Mytilus edulis: one gene and its partner. The main gene of each other region encodes a partner of the protein of the gene in region 2 in a complex. Links are inferred from orthologs where the notes say so. Each region holds a gene or a part of one and is shown on either strand. Other genes may lie near its edges.

What was found.
Region 1: negative elongation factor B-like (region 2) and negative elongation factor E-like share a complex: the UniProt entries of both Drosophila melanogaster proteins name them as parts of the NELF complex. The link is inferred for Mytilus edulis from reciprocal best matches to the Drosophila melanogaster genes NELF-B and Nelf-E.

Annotation. Positions count from the first base shown.
Region 1 is NC_092345.1:2,449,887-2,459,827, reverse strand, and holds the start of negative elongation factor E-like, read right to left. Parts: upstream 3,957-9,941; 5' UTR 3,875-3,956; coding exon 3,794-3,874; intron 1,014-3,793; coding exon 941-1,013; intron 103-940; coding exon 44-102; intron 1-43. Other genes in the region: queuine tRNA-ribosyltransferase accessory subunit 2-like, read left to right, coding at 5,617-5,734, 6,104-6,185, 6,654-6,717, 7,397-7,501, 8,797-8,967, 9,284-9,383. UniProt on the Drosophila melanogaster protein: Essential component of the NELF complex, a complex that negatively regulates the elongation of transcription by RNA polymerase II by RNA polymerase II. The NELF complex, which acts via an association with the DSIF complex, causes transcriptional pausing.
Region 2 is NC_092345.1:65,341,221-65,351,430, reverse strand, and holds the start of negative elongation factor B-like, read left to right. Parts: upstream 1-6,419; 5' UTR 6,420-6,613; coding exon 6,614-7,500; intron 7,501-8,112; coding exon 8,113-8,215; intron 8,216-10,210. UniProt on the Drosophila melanogaster protein: Essential component of the NELF complex, a complex that negatively regulates the elongation of transcription by RNA polymerase II.

The DNA of each region.
Region 1 (9,941 bases), about 63 Mb from region 2:
GGGGGGCCCCAGGGCCCCCTTGGATCCACCTACAATTACCTACCCCTAACTTCAATAATTTTTTAGCTTGTTGTGTGGCATCTCCTGCATTTTCTGGAGGCGCTACAATAAAATCAAAATGACTAAATAATGCTTTAGATTTAATTCATTCATTAAAAAGTGTATTTTAAATTTATCTTGATCATGTTGATCAGGATTATAATTTTCTTCTACTCTATTATACAGAAATTTAATTTTCAGGTGAGCAAATTTTCAAAATATGCCATACATTTCAATTGTTTAATGGCAAGTCATAATACTTCATCTTAACAACATTTCAGAAGCTGACTAAGTTTATGATCTATACACAGTCTTAAAAGTACTGGTATCTCCTTCAGCCAACTTGGCTTAAGTTCATCTCCTTTAAACAGGGCCTTTAATTAATCACAATTTTAATATGATTTGGCTATTATGATACATTTATATGATTGATCGAGAGGGCTTCCAGTAGTGGCTCTCGACATTATGCACCAATTAAATTTTCATTCAATGACACAAATATACAATTTTTGGTTGGATTGTTATCTCTTTGACACATTCCCCATTCCCATTCTCAATTTGAAAATCTATGTATAATAGAGGTTACAAGTGAGGAAATTAAGTTTATTATCTTAAATTTTAAAGAATTATAAGGATTTGACACCAATTTAAAGGAATTTATTGTATGTATAAACTGGGCCAAGTCACTCACAAACATATTATAAAAGTCCTTCCTTTATTTGTTTAAGAGTGAATTGGTTAAGTTTATACACCAATAAATTCCTTTAAAAAGGTGTTTAATACTTTATGACTACATAGTCTTAGTACAATATTCACCAAAAAACATGAACAAATATGGAGATTCTAAAGTTCTTAGATGGATCTAAATTTCAATGATTTTAATCTTCTTCGAAATATATACCTCGTTTTGTTGGCGCATTGATTGGTTGTTCTTTCTCTGGTTTTGGAGTTCTAGCAGCTAATAACGCTTTTTTCTGAAAATAATAAGGGATATACTGATATATCATGATTATATAAAATTGTCTTTGCAAAATGAAATGTTCCTAAATTTTCTTAATAGTTTTTTTGTTGTTGCACATGCACTTAAAATGGCAACTTGATTAACTCTGGTTGATGTTGAAGTAATAAATGCTCTCCTATTAATCATTTAAGACTGGCCTATTACTGTTTTAGACCCAATTGTCAAAACTTGGTTGATTCTGTTCCACCATCTACATGATCTTAGATTATTAGCGGATTCATCTGAAGTTTGCCAATTGAATTTAGACAGCTGCTTCAGTTCCTGTTCATATGGGATTAGTGTGACTCTGTACAAGGCATCATTCTGACTGATTTGATAATTTTCTGTGTGAAAAAATATACCAATTTACAACAGTAACACATCTATATTCTGTACAAAAATTTTTCAAAGACTGCCACATTATTGGACTGTCAAACCATAGGATTGTTGGAGTTAAGGACTGTCAGAATTAAAGGTCTGACACCATTTAAGTGACGGTACATTGAATGACCGAATAACACCATTATAATCCAAATAACACTTGTAATGAACGAATAACACTTGAAATTTTAATATATGCACGTGCATGTACATATTGGTGACTTTTAAACATTGATTATTAAATAATAGTATATTATCGATGTATTTTTTAACTTACAAATGATTTACAGAAAGCAGGTAAGTTTATAAAGATCATTTTGAATAAAGTGTGTACACCCAACATGGCGACCACAGAAATCACAATGGCTGCCATGTTAGATGTACACACAAAATTTAAAATGATCTTTATGAACTTACCTGCTTTCTTTAAATCATTTTATAAGTTATAAAATACATCAATTATATATTACTATTTAATAATCAATGTTTAAAAGTCACCAATATGAGCTACTAATATAACATAGTATTCAAATTTCAAGTGTTATTTGGATATTACAATTGTTCAGCGGATAATAACGGTGTAATTCAGTCATTCTTGTTACTCTTTAAGTGATGGATATGCCAAAGATAGTACATCTGTAAAGCCCAAGTCACACTATACCATGATCGCACCATGCTAACCAAGATCTTATATAAACAAAGATTGTGGTGAGGTTGCATTAGGAAAATGTTAATTTTCGTTATTTCATGATGAAACTACGTCCTCATTATGTTTCTACAACGATCCCACTACAATTATACCACGTTCTCACCACGCTTTTCCTACCATTATCATGATCTTACTACTGTCATCACATTCTCACTTCGACTGTACCAAAAGTTATCTGATTGCAACACGATCTTACCACACTTCTACTGCGATTAAAGCACGTTCTTAACACAATTATACTACATTCATATTGCGATCTTACTACATTCTCAGCAATAACATCAACATCCTGTTCCATATAAATACTTTTCCATTCCTTATATTTCTGATTAAAACGTAGATTTCTCGGAAAAAACACAGTCATGCCACCAAAATCTACCAGAACACATGGGCATGGTGGTAGGAGTAGATGTAGAGGCAGAGGGAGCTCTGATAGTAACTAATCCTGATCTAGCAGAGATGTCGGACCAAGCAATCCAACCTGATTCACAACCTATTGCTGGTCCATCAAGCTCAAATGACAATGTTTTAGGCAGCAACCATTTGATTTTCTGGGGGAGCTATGGTTTTTTTTGGAAAAAAAAGTTTGTTTCCAGTTTTTGGAGAAAAAAATAATTTGTTTTTGATTCTGAGAAAAAAAAAATGTTTGTTTCACCCTCAGCTGCCAGTCTATATGTAATGCTAAAATTGAAAGAAAAAAATTGTTTTCGACTTGTCGCGAAAAAAATAGATTGTTTTTCGCCGCAGGCGATAAAAAAAGGTTGTACAGAAAAAAAAACCATAGCCCCCCCCAGAAAATCAAATGGTTGCTGCCTTAGTGAACAATAGCAGGGATGACACAGATCAAGCATGGTTGAGCCTTTGGAGAAAAACAACAAAAGGTCCAAATTACATATATATAGACAAACAAAACCTGGAGGGCTTTTATGTATTTCATGTGAAAATGACAATGAGCATGATGGTTGTAGTATGAACTTAGTCAGGTTATAAGAAGAGCGTGATGATAATGGCATTGGTGTGCTAGAATTGACTATGGTCTTAAACAGCATGGTGTAAATGTGGTATAGCCATAATGGAAGAGTAGATCGCAGTGAGACTGTGATGGTCATAGTGAGCTTGCAGTAATGTTGCTGTGAGATCGTACATGTAGCGCAGTCTCTCCTAATTGAATCACGCTTTGGCTACGCTCTTGCTAAGATGGTACAGAGACCTTTGCGATCTTACAACTACCTTGCTGCACCCTCACTACACTTCTACTACGACCTGATTTCGCCTCAACAGCACCATGATTGTTTGGAACATGTTCAAAGTTGGCCACGCTCATCACGATCTTGAAGACCTTACCACCACCGTATAACGACCTTACTTAGATCTACAAGATCACACTATGATCGTTAAAATTTGCATTTTTTTTCACAGATCGTGGCCTAGTGTGACTGTGGTATTAGATATTTGCTGGTATTATCGAGGACACATTAAGGAAATGTAAATGACTATAAAAAAAAATCATGAAGAAGATAAATAATAGGAAAAAAGATGATTCATGTATGAAGCCGATTTGGCCTTGGTCGTTTCGGCCAAAAGTGGAAAACTCGAAAAGTTTGTTTGGTCATTTTTTTGTTGTTTTTCCAAGCAAACCATTGCACACGATCTTAAATGTTAACCTTTTTTCTTAATTTTGCATATTTCTGTTTGAGAATTTCTTCTTCTTCTGTCAGTGTTGGTGGAAAAATAATGTGAACCATTCTGTATTCTATATTTCAAAACCGTAAAATTATAATCTATCTATCACAAAATATCAGCTTTCGTTTGTAGAAGGTAAAAAAACATCCAAATGGGAGAATTAAATTCAAAAACATTTATCAGAAAAACTAATGGTTTTAGAAATGTTTAAATGTTTGATAACAATGGGCTTTTTTTAAATTTTCATTAATGAAACCTTTTAGAGAGTATTTATTTTTTGAGATTCATTCTTAGGAATATTTTTGTTGTAGAAATTAAGGGTCCCTTTGGACTCACTAAATACCACAAATGAAAACAAGTAAAATAGTATAGTGAGTACACATGGTACACGTAAAAATAAAGAGAAGCAAACCGTATGAAGAAACTGAATTTTAGATAATTATGTTCCATTCCAAGAATTTACAGCTTTTCTTAGAAAAGTCCTACTCTCGAAACAAAATGTCACACCCACTAACATGAAGGAAACAACTGTCAAAACAGTATACAGTCACATCTGTATCTGTCTGCCTCTCTCTCTTGACATATACTTCTTCTATATTTATAATGCAAACAGTAAGCATACAGCTATTCTGCATTTGTATTTGTCGCTATTGTCAGCTATGTGCAGGGTTGAGAGATATGTCTTCCCAAATTTCCCTCCCCCAGAAAAAAGATCTCGTCCAGGATCCTAAACAATGAGTTTTCAATTCCCAAAGTCAGATAATTGTTTATCAAGAATTCTGTAAAAATCAGATAAGCCCAATACCGAATTTAACAAAAATAAGCTTAAAAAGAGGGACAAAATATACTAGAGGGATAGTCAAACTCATAAATCGAAAAAAAACTGACAACGCCATGGCTAAAAATGAAAAAGAAAAACATACAAACGATAGTTCACATGACAAAACACGTAAAACTAAAGAATAATTAACACAAACCCCACCAAAAACTGGGGGTGATCTCAGGTGCTCAGAAAGGGTAAGCAGATCCTGCTCCACATGTGGCACCCGTCGTGTTGCTCATGTTATAACAGAACCGGTAAATAGTCTAAATTGGTAGGTCACATTCATGAAAGGGAAAGGGATTGTAGTTATGACGTAAGGAACATATCCGATATCATCTGTGAAACAGTTATTCCATAACGGTCAACCAACTCGTGATGGCATCTGTAAAATTTATGAAGCCATTTGAAACTCTTGGTTTAATAGCTTCCTTGTGAGCAGCAACCCTCTATTAAGAAAATCATGATAAGAAAAACAAGCACGGAAATATCGTACCAATTTAGGAGATATGTACCCTGTATGCAGGTGCTGCTGGAATGTTGCTACTTAGAAATGGAAAGTTCACAATTGGAGGGTTGAGTTTGAAATGGTTTTTCTGCCCAGCATTAACGCATTTACACTTTTTAGTATTTAGCTATATATAGCCTCAAAATGACCTTAAATCTACTCTGAATCACCTTTTTGACGTCAAGCAACAATCACTTTTTAAATGTGAAGTCAAATTTTTGAATTATGATGTCAGAGTTTACGGGAACCTGTGTGATTTTACGTAATGGCGTACAAATTTGCATACAAGTGTAAATATGTCTATTGTCCACAGCAATGTTTACTAGAAAATTAGGGTTTTTTTTTAAGTTGATATGATACACATACACGATATGATGACATTCAGTATTGCATCTTTAAATTTATAATATTTTATCATTGTTTTTTTTTATTTTTAGTATTCCCATCTGATTTGAATTACACAACTGTAAGAAAAAATGAAGTTTTCTGTGCAGAATGTGAAGAATGGTTGTCGTTTAGGGCTTATCACTGACCTAGGAAAGAATGGAACCAAAAGTATAGAAACTCCTATGTGTATGTTATATACCAGAGGAGGTAAGTAAATTATGGATATGAAAATAAGTAGAGTTTAAAAAGAAATTGAAGAAATTTGCAGAAACCTATATTGTTTGTGTTTTGTATCATAGAAATGAAAAGTATGTTTTTAGGACAATATTTCTGTTATAAAATAATTATTCCATTTTTGATAACTGATCCTATTTTTATTAATGACTTATAACCTACCACTGAAATAAAATTGTATGCTACACCACACTGTTATACTGTTTAGTTTCCACATTTATAATTCATTGTGTTTTCAATTCTCATTTAATCCTATCCAACAGTTTACATTCATTTCAGTGGCATTTTGTCATATATACCAATTGACATTTACATCGTGTTATATTTTTTCGTCTTTTTTAGGCAATGCTCCTCATTTGACGTTAGACGTCTTAAAGAAGATACAGAGAGTTCCTCCAATGGCTCACATGTATTTAAGTTCTCTGTAAGTAAAATAAAACGAGTAATTATAACTTTTTAAATTTCATTGTATTAGTTGAAATTTTACTTTTTAAAATGCAAAAAGCATTGTTCAGTTTTATGTTATACATTATGATTCAATTTCATAATTTTACAATGAAATTAGATGAACCATGAATCATTTTTTTCCCTTTACAATGGAATAAGCAGAGTTATGTCCCATGATCTATGATGTTCACTTTTTCATTCATGCCCTTAAAGATATTTATTATGGGAAATATGCATGCCTTAATTTGACTAAGTCAACATAAATGTATAAATTCAAGATGTATATTATGTATGGAGTATGACCTTCATTATATCTTTAATATATCCATGTAAATTTATGATGTAATATAAATGGATTGTTTTACCTGAGGGCTGTATAGTCAGTCAATGTTGTTAAAAACTCCCACCATCATCATCATGAATTGTTAATGTTTTTTTCTTCCAGGGCAGAACATAGTGAAGCTGTCACACAGTTTAAGGAAGGAATAGCTAATTTCTGTGGCATGCAGGTAAATATGGCTTCAGCTTTTAGTTCTACACCAAAAAATATTGGTCTTTTTAAATGTGAGTTCTACACAGGTAAAATAGCTATGTCCGTTAAAAATCAGTAATATGTCTGTATTATATGGAAGACTTACTGACAAATAGTACCTCAGACTTACAATGTCTGTTGCTTATAACGCGTAATACATCTATATCAACTCGTAAAACATATTAGCATAGGCACATCTAATTTCCATGGCAATTGTTTAGCCCTGTACCTTCAGTCATGGTTCATTGACTTTAAATCTTTGCATAACTTATATGTTAAAGTATTGCTATTCTTATTTCAATATTTGTATTATCAAAATAACACAAATAGGCGAGACATATATCTGTGTTTAAAGTTTATATCAATATCTACATAACCTTTAATGACAGGATATATTCCATTGATAAAAAATGCCAAACAACAGATTGCAAAACCGTGGAGTAAAAATCTGTACAGGTTTTATAAACTTGATTTTAGATTCTTTCAGCAACACATCCATTTATTTTTATTAATGGGCCCATGTTTGAAGATAATATAGGAGAAATATTTTGTTTCTGTAATTACATGAGTTATACATATGTTGAAATTTTAGTAATTTTAGGAAGTGTATGTGTATTTAAAGAAAATGTAAAACAAAGTTTATAATTTTTTTAAAGGATTTTGCAGTTTACTGTTCCTTACATGACCCAGCTACAGAGGTACCTTCGGGATACAATGAAAAATCAGGGACAGCAATCTGGACAAAGGGAGGGAAGTATAAGGTATAGCCTTTTCACCTTTATAGATACTTTGTATGTTCTTTTCTTATATATTTGATGCGTTTCCCTCAGTTTAAGTTTGTAACCCGTTTTTTTTTTTTCTCAATCGATTTATTAATTTTAAACAGCAATATACTACTGTTGCCTTTATTTATAAGCTGACTATTATTTGCAAAAAGTTTAAAAGAGCTGAAAAATTATTTGGTGTTATTTTCAAATAGAAATAAAGAAGATGTAGTTTGAGTGCCAATGAGACAACTCGGCATCCAAGTCACAACGTGTAAAAAGTAAATGTTTACTTCTAAAATTATTTTGGTTTGTTGCTGGTTTACCAGACAGAAAATTAAAATAGTGTATTTATAACAAAATAAGGCTAATGACCTAGTTTGAAATGTTATAAATTTAATTCTGCATTAAAGAATCATCTTGTTACTAGGATTATTAGGAAAGAAAGCAGGTGGGTCATTTACATAAAAAAGATATTAACCTAGCAACACACAAAAACAATGGAAACAAAATTTCTTAACCCAACAACACAAAAACAATGGAAACTGTAAATTCGGAAACTATTGCGTGTATTTATTATTGTGAATTTGTAATTTTAGACTAAAATGCGATTTTAATTGTTGCGATATTGAGCAAAATCCTGTTTTAATTCTTATAAAAAATTTCAAAATGCATTTTTAAATTATTGAGATTATAACCCTGTCACACTTTTCGCAATAATAAAAACATCACAATAATTTCTGAATTTACAGTAAATATAGACTCATTAATTTGGATTAGAAAATATGAATTTATACAATTATTTCATGGATAGGATAATCTTAGAATTTTATAGCCCTTCCTGTTCCTGGTAATTATTTTCTATTCACAAAATATAAGACTCTATTCATAAAAATGAGAATGGAAATGAGGAATGTGTCAAAGAGACAGCAACCCAACCAAAGAGCAGAAAATAGCCAAAGGCCACCAATAAGTCTTCAACACAGCGACAAAATCTCGCACCTGGAGGCAGCCTTCAGCTGGCTCCTAAACAAAAATGTGTTCAGTGAAAATGGAGTCACACTAAACTCTGAAACATATAAATGAACTAAAATTTTAAAAACATGCAAGACTAAAAAAGACTAGACGGCAGAGGTTTCTGACTTGGGACAGACACATAAATGTAATGAGGTTTAACATAGTTTATGAGATCTCAACCCTTATTAGAACAATGAGACATAGAAAGTACTGATGTATCAGATGAAAGAACCTTTACATGTATTATTATTTTTTAAAACTTTTTTATTTGAAAGTTAGATGTCATCCACTTTATGCAAATCCAGGAAGCTTTTCAACCTGATATCTGTGAAGCATTGTATGACGGGGATACAAATAAAGATTCTACTCGCAAACGATTACTGAAAGCAATGGATAGAACTTTGAACTATCTTGATGAAATTCAGGATAAATGGAAAAGTTCTCAGGTTTGTATGTCTCTTAAAGTCTTTTAGAGTAACTGTCTTGCCACTAGGTATTTACTTGTACCTTCTGTTTACTTGACACCTACATTTTTTGTCACACTTTGCATACTTTCTCTTTGCAGTGGGTGAGGGGAATTAATCGAGTGTGTTCATTATTTTAAAGAATATTATTTTAGAAACAATGAACTATAGTTGTTAATTTCTGTGTCATTTTGGTCTCTTGTGGTCGTTGTGGAGAGTTGTCTCATAGGCAATCATACCACATCTTCTTTTTAATTTAGCTTTTATTAATACAATTTTTTGTTGACTTATGATACAGAAGTTACAGAAGACAGCACTGTTTGGAGTTATAGAAGGAGGATTTAGCATACAAGAAAGACAGAAGTCTGCACATGAAACTGTTACTAGAAATGTAGATGGTGAGCTTGTCTTAGTTTACTTGTAACTTCTACTCTAAAAGTGATAAAGATATTAGAAAGAAAAAAAAACAGTTGTAAACAAAAAAGCATTTGTATGCCAAAAAAAAAAACATCATTAGAATTGGTTTTCGAATAAAAAAACTTACTCTACAATTTAGATCCTTATCTCAACCAGAATCTGACCAGTTGGAAATTAATCTTCAGTGCTAAAAATTTCTGACATATATATTGCTTAATGTTGGTAAATGTCTATGGTAATTAGTTACAAAATATTTTTGTTCTGTTATTTAATATCTGTATAAGTGCTGAGCAAATTTCTTGTAATTTCCTCTCTGTGTTAATATATAAATCTGAGGCTTGCACTGAAGCAGACAATGTGTGTGTGAACTCTGGTAATATTAAGGAAGTGTCAACTGTTGTTTCATTTGAGCAATACTGATATACTTATTAAGTTGCCTAGCTTAAATTCATATTTAACTGACCAGTTGCAGAAAAACGTTTATCTACTGGCATGAGTTAAGGATTGATTGAGGTTTGCATGTCATGATGACTTGGTTG
Region 2 (10,210 bases):
GGATAGAGGTATAAGGGAGGGCTGAGATCTAAAATAAAAAAAAAGCAGAATGTTTAACCCTACCGCATTTTTGCTCCTTCCCTAGTCAGGAGCCTCTGGCCTTTGTTAGTCTGAATGTGTGATAATTCATTTTAGTTCATTTATATATTTCGGAGTTAAGTATGACGTCCATGCTCACTGAACTAGTACACAATTTTGTTTAGGGGCCAGCTGAAGCACAAATCCGGTCGCGGCATTCACTGACCAAAGCATGTCTTATAGTTTCATCTAACGAAAGTAACAGAGTGCTCAAGTTCACTTCCAATCGATAGATTTGGGGGAGAAATCATGTTATTATGAAAAACAAAAGGATGATGGTTATATTTAGACGAACTCTACAATAAAGACAAAATGACGTAGAAGTCAACAAATACTTGGATAGGCAAACGTATGACCTTCAACAATGAACAAAAAATAGGGCATAACAAACTAACAAACTGAAGGCACGGCGAAATGAAAATCTATAAAAAATCAAACGAGAAAAGTAACGAGAAAAGTAACGACCTGGTTAGTTCCGTAAAATCATCTTGCTCAGTCCTTTAGCTAAGTTTTCAGTAAATAATCAGCTGCATTCCACCAGACATATCATTAGTTACATAGTGTGTGCAAGTGACCTAAATACGGTATATATGGGGTCAGTAAATTCCATATGGGGTGAGAGCGAAGCTCGAATCCCCATATGGAATTTACTGACCCCATATAGAATTTACTAACCCCATATATATCGTATTACGTCACTAGCACACTATGTAACGAATTTATCTTACCAACTATCTGAACGTGTGAAATTAAGACTAGTGATTCTCAAAATGAGCAAATCTTTAATACTGTTAACATTAAGAAAATACTTCCATTGATCCTACAAAAACAGATGCCAACAATAACGACTTGTTAGGTTTAAATGTGTTTTATGAATTTATTTCAATCAATTTCAAATTGAAGATTTTTTTTCTTCTTCTTCTTCTTATGGTATCCAGTTATCCATCAGATTTTTGATGATTACTAACTGCTGCGCATGCGTAGGATAATAATAAATAAATATTTACAAAATAAAAGTGCCAAAAAATAAACAAATACTAACATGACATGTGGTCAAAACTATTTACATAACTACTAGGTTTACTGTTCTATATTGTAGAGTGATAACGATTACAGGCATATCTAGCAGCCCAACGTTGAACCATCTCAAGTTTATTGCATTGTTCAGCAGTATGAGGGTTCCAAACCGAACAAGCATATTCTAGTTTAGGTCGGACAAGTGCTAGATATGCCTGAGACTTAATGTTTGTAATGGATGTTTTCAGATTTCTTTTCAGAAAGCGTAGGCTTTTATTAGCATTACCAATGATGTTATTTGTATGCTGTTATCATTTTAAGTCTGATTGCAGTGTTACTCTAAGATATTTTGCGGAGGAGACAGATTCTAGAGTGTGGCCGTGAAGGATGTAGTCGTGTTTGATGGTATTTTTCTTGTTTGAGGCAGTGAGAACTGTACATTTGTCTGGATGGAAAGCCATCAGCCAGTCTTCTTCCCACTTTGCAGCAGCATCAAGATCTTCCTGAAGGCTATCACAATCTTTTTGAGATTTGATGCTTTTGTATATGATGCTGTCGTCTGCGAACAGTCTGAGTTTACTAGATTTCATATATTCTGGTAGGTCGTTAATATATACCAGGAATAGAACTGGACCCAGAACTGTTCCCTGTGGGACACAGAGGCGGATTTAGAGGGGGGGCAGGGGGCCCGGGCCCCCCCTTTTTTGGAAAAAATTTGGTTGCTTATATAGGGAATCACTGAAGCATGTCTGGAGCGGGCCCCCTCTTAGGTCAGTCAGTGGGCCCCCACTTATGAAAATTTATGGATCCGCCACTGGGACACCAGAAGTAACTGGAGCAATGTCTGATGACTCACCATCCAGGACAACGGTTTGATAAGAAGGCAGAGATCCAGTTAAGTGTTTCATTTTGAATACCGTAGAAATGTAGTTTATATAAGAGTCTTTGATGTGGGACTTTGTCAAATGCTTTGGCAAAGTCCATAATTACAAGGTCTGTTTGGGTGTTATTGTCTGAATTTGAAGCTAGTTCTTGTATGAAAGATAGAAGTTGTGTTTCACATGATCTAGAGTGTCTGAAGCCGTGCTGAAGGTCGTATAATAGGTTGTTTTTTTCTAGGTGGTTAATTAGGTGTTTAGTAATGACATGTTCCATTAGTTTGCAACTGATACAAGTGAGAGAGATTGGTCTGTAGTTGACTGCGTTGTATTTTTCCCCTTTTTTGTATGCTGGTGCGACATTTGCATGTTTCCAGTCGGATGGTATACATCCAGTTGTGAGTGATTTTTGGAAAATAATGGTGAGGATTGGTGCCGTAATGTTTTGAAGTTGTTTTAGTACTCTGTCGCTGATGTTATCTCGGCCAGTGGCTTTGTTCGGATTGATGTTGTGTAAGAGTTTTTGTATGCCAGGTGTGGTAATTGTGAGTGATGGTATGACTGGATGGGGACTTGGCCCTTTATCAGGCATATTATTTGTTGTTTCAGTGGTAAAGACTGATTAAAACTGCTCATTTAAAATGTTGGCTTTTTGTTTTGTATCAGTTGTTAATTAGCCCTCTTTTTTTAGGGGAGAAACTCCACTATTGTCAGTTCTGATTGATTTTATATAAGAAAAGAGTTTCTTTCGTTTTGATTGGTTGCTGTAACTTAGGTCCGGGTCATTTGTTGGAAGGTCAAGGATCATTTTTTCTATGTATGTACAATAGGCACGTCTCTGTTCTTGTTGGACTTGTTGTTTTAGTTTTTTTATATTTAACTATATAGTTTTTGTCCTTTTTTATTTTAGAGTACAATTTATTCTTTTTATTTATCATTTTTCTGAGTTTGTTGTGCACCCAGGGAAGTCGATGTTTAAACGTTAACATTTTATGTGGGATGTTTGTATCTATTGATTTTGTGATATTGTTTTTAAATAAATCCCACATTTCATTGATAGTACTATTGTTGTTATTGTTCATAATAGTAAGCTCTTCTAGTGTTTTTTGTAGGTCTGCTTCTATATTTTCCCAGTTTGCTTTGTCATATTTTAGTATTTTTCTCGGATGTTGTCTAACTTTTCGAAGCCAAGTGTCTGTTTCTATGTAGACGATATCGTGGTCACTTAGTCCTAGTGGTGGTACCTAGTGTGTTTACTTTGTTGACAGTTGTTGGAATGTTAACTAAGATTAAGTCTAGTATTCTTTCTTTTCTAGTTGGTGTGTTAACTATTTGTTGAAGGTTAAAATGTTCCAGTAGTTCTAAAAGTTTATTGTGATGTTCAGCATCCGGTTTACCGGGTATGACCTGAGGTATAGACCACTGAGTCAATATGACCTAAGTTAAAGTCACCACCAATCATGATATTAGTATTTGATGATTCGTTAATTCTACTAAGTGATAGTTCTAGTTGTTGTATAAAAGATGTTCCTTTATCTGATGGTGGTCTGTAATATGCACCTACTAATAATTTCTTACTACCAGTCATGTTTATTTGAGACCAAACTATTTCACAGTCAGTTTTAAGTTTACTTACTTCTGTGCTTATAAGTTCTTTATTAATGGCAATAAGTACACCTCCATGACTTTGGTTATTTTTATTTGGTGGTCTGTCTGATCTATAGACATTAAATAGTTCTGGTGGAAAGATTTTTTCTAAGTACCGTTTTGTTTTTATAAAGGTACATAACACCATTACTAACGGTGTATAAAATAAGCCCGCCCCTTCTTACCTAATATGGAATATAAAGGGACGTAACTCCACTACTAAGATAAAGATAAGATAAAGATATTTTATTTCCTAATCATAGGGCTCATAACAAGCATGTAATCACGTAAAGTAAAAATAAAAAGCCTTTCTCTCCCAGTCGCATACACTCACACATACAACTATCGTTCTGATTAAGGATGATTGATTTTACAGTACAACATGTATAAAATGAAAAAAATAAAATACAGATAAAAAATACCAATACAAATGTACTTTTTTTATGAGGAGAGTCAGTTGCCTACATTGTATATATGGAACGAAAGATAACTCTTACTGCCCAGAAAAGAACAATTCAAGTATATAATGTTACAATGAACTGTTGAAGACTATAAATAAGTTTTATAAGTTTCAGTTAAGCAAATATTTAGTTTCTCAATGTGTAAAATGAGGATAGCAATTCACATAATTTAGAGTTAAAATGAAGGCTATTGTTTGACATAAACCAAATAAGCAGATTACTATCGGATATTTGGGATAAATATAGGTATTTTGCAAAGAGTTCATCCAAAAAGGTTTTTCTTTCCTTATTATAAAGGGTACATTTAAATAAAAAATGTTCTTCGTCTTCAACCGAGTTCATTGAACAAAACTGGCATGTTCTCTCTCATCTTGGCAGTGTAATATTTTTTCCATGGTCATCAATTTTTCGTTCGTAACGGCCTCTCTCTACTAACCGTGTATGAGATAAGCCCCGCCTTCCTACTAACCTAATATCAAATATACACGGTTTGAACGCGGACGCTTTTAACCAATCATATTCCTGGAAATGTATAGGAAGTAAAATAAATATATGTCTTTGATTCCACCCTATCGTGTTTAAGCCGGGAAAGTATGCTGACTAAAATCCAAGTTTCATACTGAAAGAGTGTAACATAAAATATTGTCCTCCATGAAATATTTTCAGTCGGACAAATTTTCATATAAAATATTGTCCACTGACAGTATTTCATAATGAGATATTGTCTTGGACAATATTTCATTATGAAATAGTGTCCTTGTCCATGAAATTTTGTCACCTCCTTCTGCCTGTTCTGGACAATATTTCAATATGAAATTCTGTTCATGACAATACTTCACTATGAAATACTGGCTTTGAAAATATTTTTTAATCGAATTATTTCACAATTAGAAATAGTACACAAGCATGCAGCATGCACATTTCTAGATTTATAACTGAAATTGTTTTGTATAGTAGAGAATTTATATTATTGTTAATAGTGAGTTTCAAATTTGCATAGATACACTACAAATGGTTAATTACAGATTAAAGAATTGTCTAACAAAGGTTTCATTTTATTACATTATACTGTACAAATATAAGTAATGTACTGACAATCGTTTATTTTGTAAATATAAACACAAGTATGTATCGCAGAAAAAAATCCTATATACCTTCTGTAACATGAATATATGTTGTAGGGTATCGGGACCGTTCGCCCTAATAGTATGTTCGCCCTAGGTCCGTTCGCTCTGAGTTCGTTCGCCTATAGAGTCCATTCGCCCTACTATAAAAATATTAATATTGAGGGCATTGAAGTTGAATTAACTTATTTAGATATTTCTATGGTATGTATGTCATGTATATTCTTGAAATTTATTGAAATATTGAAATATTTAAAAGTTCATGGCTTGTTTAGGATAATTAATTGTTCAATGACAAAATAATTTGAATCACTGATTATTGTGATACTTGTCTTTTGGTGGATTAATAATAAAAACAAACATTTTGTTTTGATAAAATATTCAGCTTGAAATTAAGAAAAACAATGATGAACAACTGTAAATTATGAAACAGATAAAATTTACAAGTTCATTTATTTATACTCTAGTCTAAGACTAGTCATATATACTGCCATACATTCGTGATTGACTGAATACAATTATTTTGTTAACAAATATCAATAAAGATGAATACATTGTATTCCAGTATTCTACTCTGTAAATCAAAGGGAAAATGATAAATTGATTGCGGCAGTATAAATATTCTGTCAAATTAAAAAAAAACAAAAACTTTAACATATTTTGTTCAAATACTTAAAATAATGTGACTAGACAAAAACTAGAAAAAAAATAAAACTCAGGGATTCTGTTGATAGCCTCCCCTTCATGAGACAAAATTTAATGACAGTTTGTCTATGAAATGTTGTCTCAATATTCACAAAATATAACCAAAATATAACCTCCCTTTAACAGGACACATTTTCGTAGTATTTATCTATGAAATATTGTCTTAATTCACACAAAATATAACCTCCCTTTAACAAGACAAAATTCCATAGTATTCATCTGTGAAATATTGTCTATTTATACAGACACAAATGCACTATGCAAATTTGTCCTTCTCTGGACATTTTTCCATAGACGAGGACAATATTTCATGATACATAGTTATGAAAAATTGTCTTGTGGTACAATATTTCATAGGACAATATTTTGGTTTACAAGAGCTCATCATAACTCACGTTTGATTGTTATTGTCAGTATCACATATTCAAACTAATTTATTTTTTCCCCCTTAGCATTGGGCTCGTTACAGCAGAGACATATAATACATGTATTATATGTCTCTGTTTTAGCAAACCGTTTCGAAGATATCCTGGTGTGCTCCATGTAGTGGAGAAATAAACTGACAAGTGAGAAAGTTCGTTCTTCCAAATGAAGGTACGAAATGGTATCGACTTCCTGTCGATTTTGCAATTAAGAAAAGATGAAAGTTTGGTGAATATAAAAGAAAGCTGCACAATTTTTACCAAAAATATCCCATCTTTAGATGGCAGGATTGGAAGATTTAGGAATCCCTGGAGGTGATTACCTCAGAGAGTCCCTAACAAATTGCTCGGACCCTCTAGCTGCTATCGAAGAATTTCAAACAGAAAATGGAATTCTTTTGCCATCACTTCGTCCTGCATTGCCTTTTCTTGACTTGTTTGAAATCAAACGCTTAGATTTCCATAACTCAGTTCTTGAAGAATTAAGTGAAAATTTAACAAACAGAATAGCAGAACTGGCCACCAGTGAACAAAAGAATAGATTTACAACACTGGAGTCCTTGTTGGAAAAGTGTTTCCCAGTGATAAGGGTGAAAAATCTCAGACCTGTTGTCATGTCAATATTGAAACATTTACCTAAGATAGATGATAAATATCTGACAAAAATTCTTGAAGACAAAGAACTTTACTCAGAAGCTGCAGTTGAAGTTAAGAGGCAAATTTGGCAGGAAAATCAAGCACTTTTTGGGGATGAAGTCTCCCCTTTACTTTCACAATATATAAAAGACAAAGAAAGTTCACTCTTTAATCATGAGCACAGCACATTAACTTTCTTTTTGCCATCCCCCCGAATAAGAAGACAGACTGATATAGTTCAAAAACTGGCTGAAATGGTGGGAAGAAATGTTAAACTGTATGATATGGTGTTGCAGTTTTTAAGAACTTTATTTCTTCGGACAAGAAATGCTCATTACTGTACTCTTAGAGCAGAATTATTGATGGCTTTGCATGATCAAGAAATAAATGAAATCTGCTCTGTAGATCCCTGCCACAAGTTTACATGGTGTGTAGATGCCTGCATAAGGGATAAATATATTGACAGTAAAAGATCAAGAGAATTGCAGGGTTTCTTAGATGGTATTAAAAAAGGACAAGAATTTGTTCTTGGGTAAGTATTTTTCACATGTACTACAATGTACAAATGTACATGTAACAGTAAAATTGGGAATTTGAAAACTTGCTTGCTACAAATGTAGGTGATCAATTTGGGCTCTTGTATATTTAATTAGGAACCCTAAGATACAAAATATAACACTCTGCAAGAAATTATGTCACATGGTCACAGGGACAGCAAAAGTGCAGATTCATTTTTCATCAAAACAGACATTGCTTTTGTCCTTACATTTGTGTACATCATCTTGCATACATGTACACATGAACTTTAACTGATGTATTCCATAAGAGGACAAATCAGTATGTATGTATATACCAATCTTTTAAGTCACTGGTTCAACCATACCAAGCTCACACACAACATTAGGTATTTAAACATGTATGTTACATGTACATGTACATATATCTTGAAAATCAACTATAATGTACCTGTATACAACCATTTACCAATATAAGAAAATGAAAAGTTAATGTACAGATTAGTATTTATGTGATTTAGATGATCTGTGTAACTCTAACCACAAATTACATGATTCCAATGCAATACTTTTGTTTTTATCAGTAAAAAGTAAATGTGACTGAAGCATTTTTTTTTTTTTCATTCAAGAGACTTGTCTATGATTTTGTGTGATCCCTATGCGTTGAACACCATAGCTTTGTCCATGATGAAGACATTACATCATTGTGTAAACAATGATATTTTACCAAGGGTAAGTAAAATATAAGCCAGGAAGAAATATCTGAATGAAGAGATATATATATATATATTTCTCTTCATTCATTTTCAGATATTCTCGCTACATTGAAGACCTGTTGGTGACCTTCTGCTGTTGTTTTTTCTATGGTTGGATTGTTGTCTCTTTGACACATTCCCCATTTCCATTCTCAATTTTATATATATATTTAGACTTGTTTTATATATAAACAAGTCTAAATATATATAGCATTGCACGGAGACCTTATCCCCTCATGTAACTCTAGCTTATAAATATAAGCTTTCGTTTCGGGAGGTGTTACCTTCTTGTAGGAATTAAACAAGGATCTCTGATACAATACATGAATTATTACACTCATCTGCGGCTTAGCTTAGCGAAAGGTAGTGCGACGTAATCAGTCAAACAAACTTTATTAGATTAACTCTCTAAGGAACGATCGTTTCCATTGGTCAATTCAAACCTTCGACTTCACACCTTCGAAAATAGAACACACATACTATAACGTTGAATGGACTGATTAATATTCACGTATCTGGTCAAGGTCGTTTAAAGCTTCCATCGACGTATTCTCATACATGATTCCAATCACAATTCTAGCTTTTATAAATGTGCATGTGAAATTCATTGGTTTTATAGTTTTCTGCAATTGGTAGTAAAGTTTAAACTATAAAATCTTAACAGTTTTTACATTTAAATATTAATATTAAAATAATTTAAATGTCTCCTCTAGATCAAGGGACGACATCAAAAGTTCAATGTAGGATAAAAAAAATCAATTCACATATGGTTTCATTTACTCCCCCCCCCCCCAAGTTGCTTATCCTGCATTTTCTTTTACTTAATGGACTCGATGAATTAACGTTGTACTTGAAAAATGAAACCGTACTTTACTACAAACACTTCATATTCTTTTCCAAGTTTTATGTATTCGACATAGGATAGCGATTTTTTTTCTGATTCCGTTTACTTGAAGAAAAAAAATCCCGAAATTGTAAGTAAATTCATAACATGTAACCAACCTTGCTTTGTTAAGAAAAAACGGAGATGGCCAATCATGGCACAGGGGATGATTAAATGTAGTTTATAAACTCCAACGATATACTTAGGTTTTGCTATTCTCGGTTGAAAAACGAACGTAAATTATATATTGTAAGTATTTAAAGACCGTTGGGTTTCCAGTTTAGATGGTTTTACACTCATGAGTAATTTTGGGGACCTTTATAGCTTGTTGTTCAGTGGCTCCGTGTTGAAGGCCGTAAATTGACCTATGATGGTTTACTTTTATAAATTGTTATTTGGATGGGGAGTTGTCTCATTGGCACTCACACCACATCTTCCTATATCTATGTAAATAGAAACAAACAGTTTTTAAAAAAGTGTTTTTTCATTAAATCATTTAAATGTATCGATAAAAAGGTGAGTGTCTTCTTGTACATGTGCATTTAGTCATCCTTAATTTCTTGATATTTTGTTTATCAGTTAAGGCAGCAACCATTTGATTTTCTGGGGGGGGGGGGGGGGGGCTATGGTTTTTTTTCTGGACAAATTTTTTTTTCGCCTATGGTGAAAAACAATCTATTTTTTTCGCGACAAGTCGAAAACAATTTTTTTCTTTCAATTTTAGCATTACATATAGTGGCAGCTGAGGGTGAAACAAACATTTTTTTTTCTCAGAATCAAAAACAAATTATTTTTTTCTCTAAAACTGGAAACGAAACTTTTTTTTCCAAAAAAAAACATACCCCCCCCCCCCCAGAAAATCAAATGGTTGCTGCCTTACCATACACGTTTCGTTTTTCATTTTAAATACGAATACATGCTACATATACTTTAGCGGATAGTCCAACAATGTTATGCAGCTCTATTCTTACAGTATAAAATTGAAAGATAAATGTTCATCCATTTAAAATCGAAAACAGTATATTTGTATTTAAAAAAGAAGATGTGGTATGATTGTCAATGAAACAACTCTCCACAAGAGACCAACAT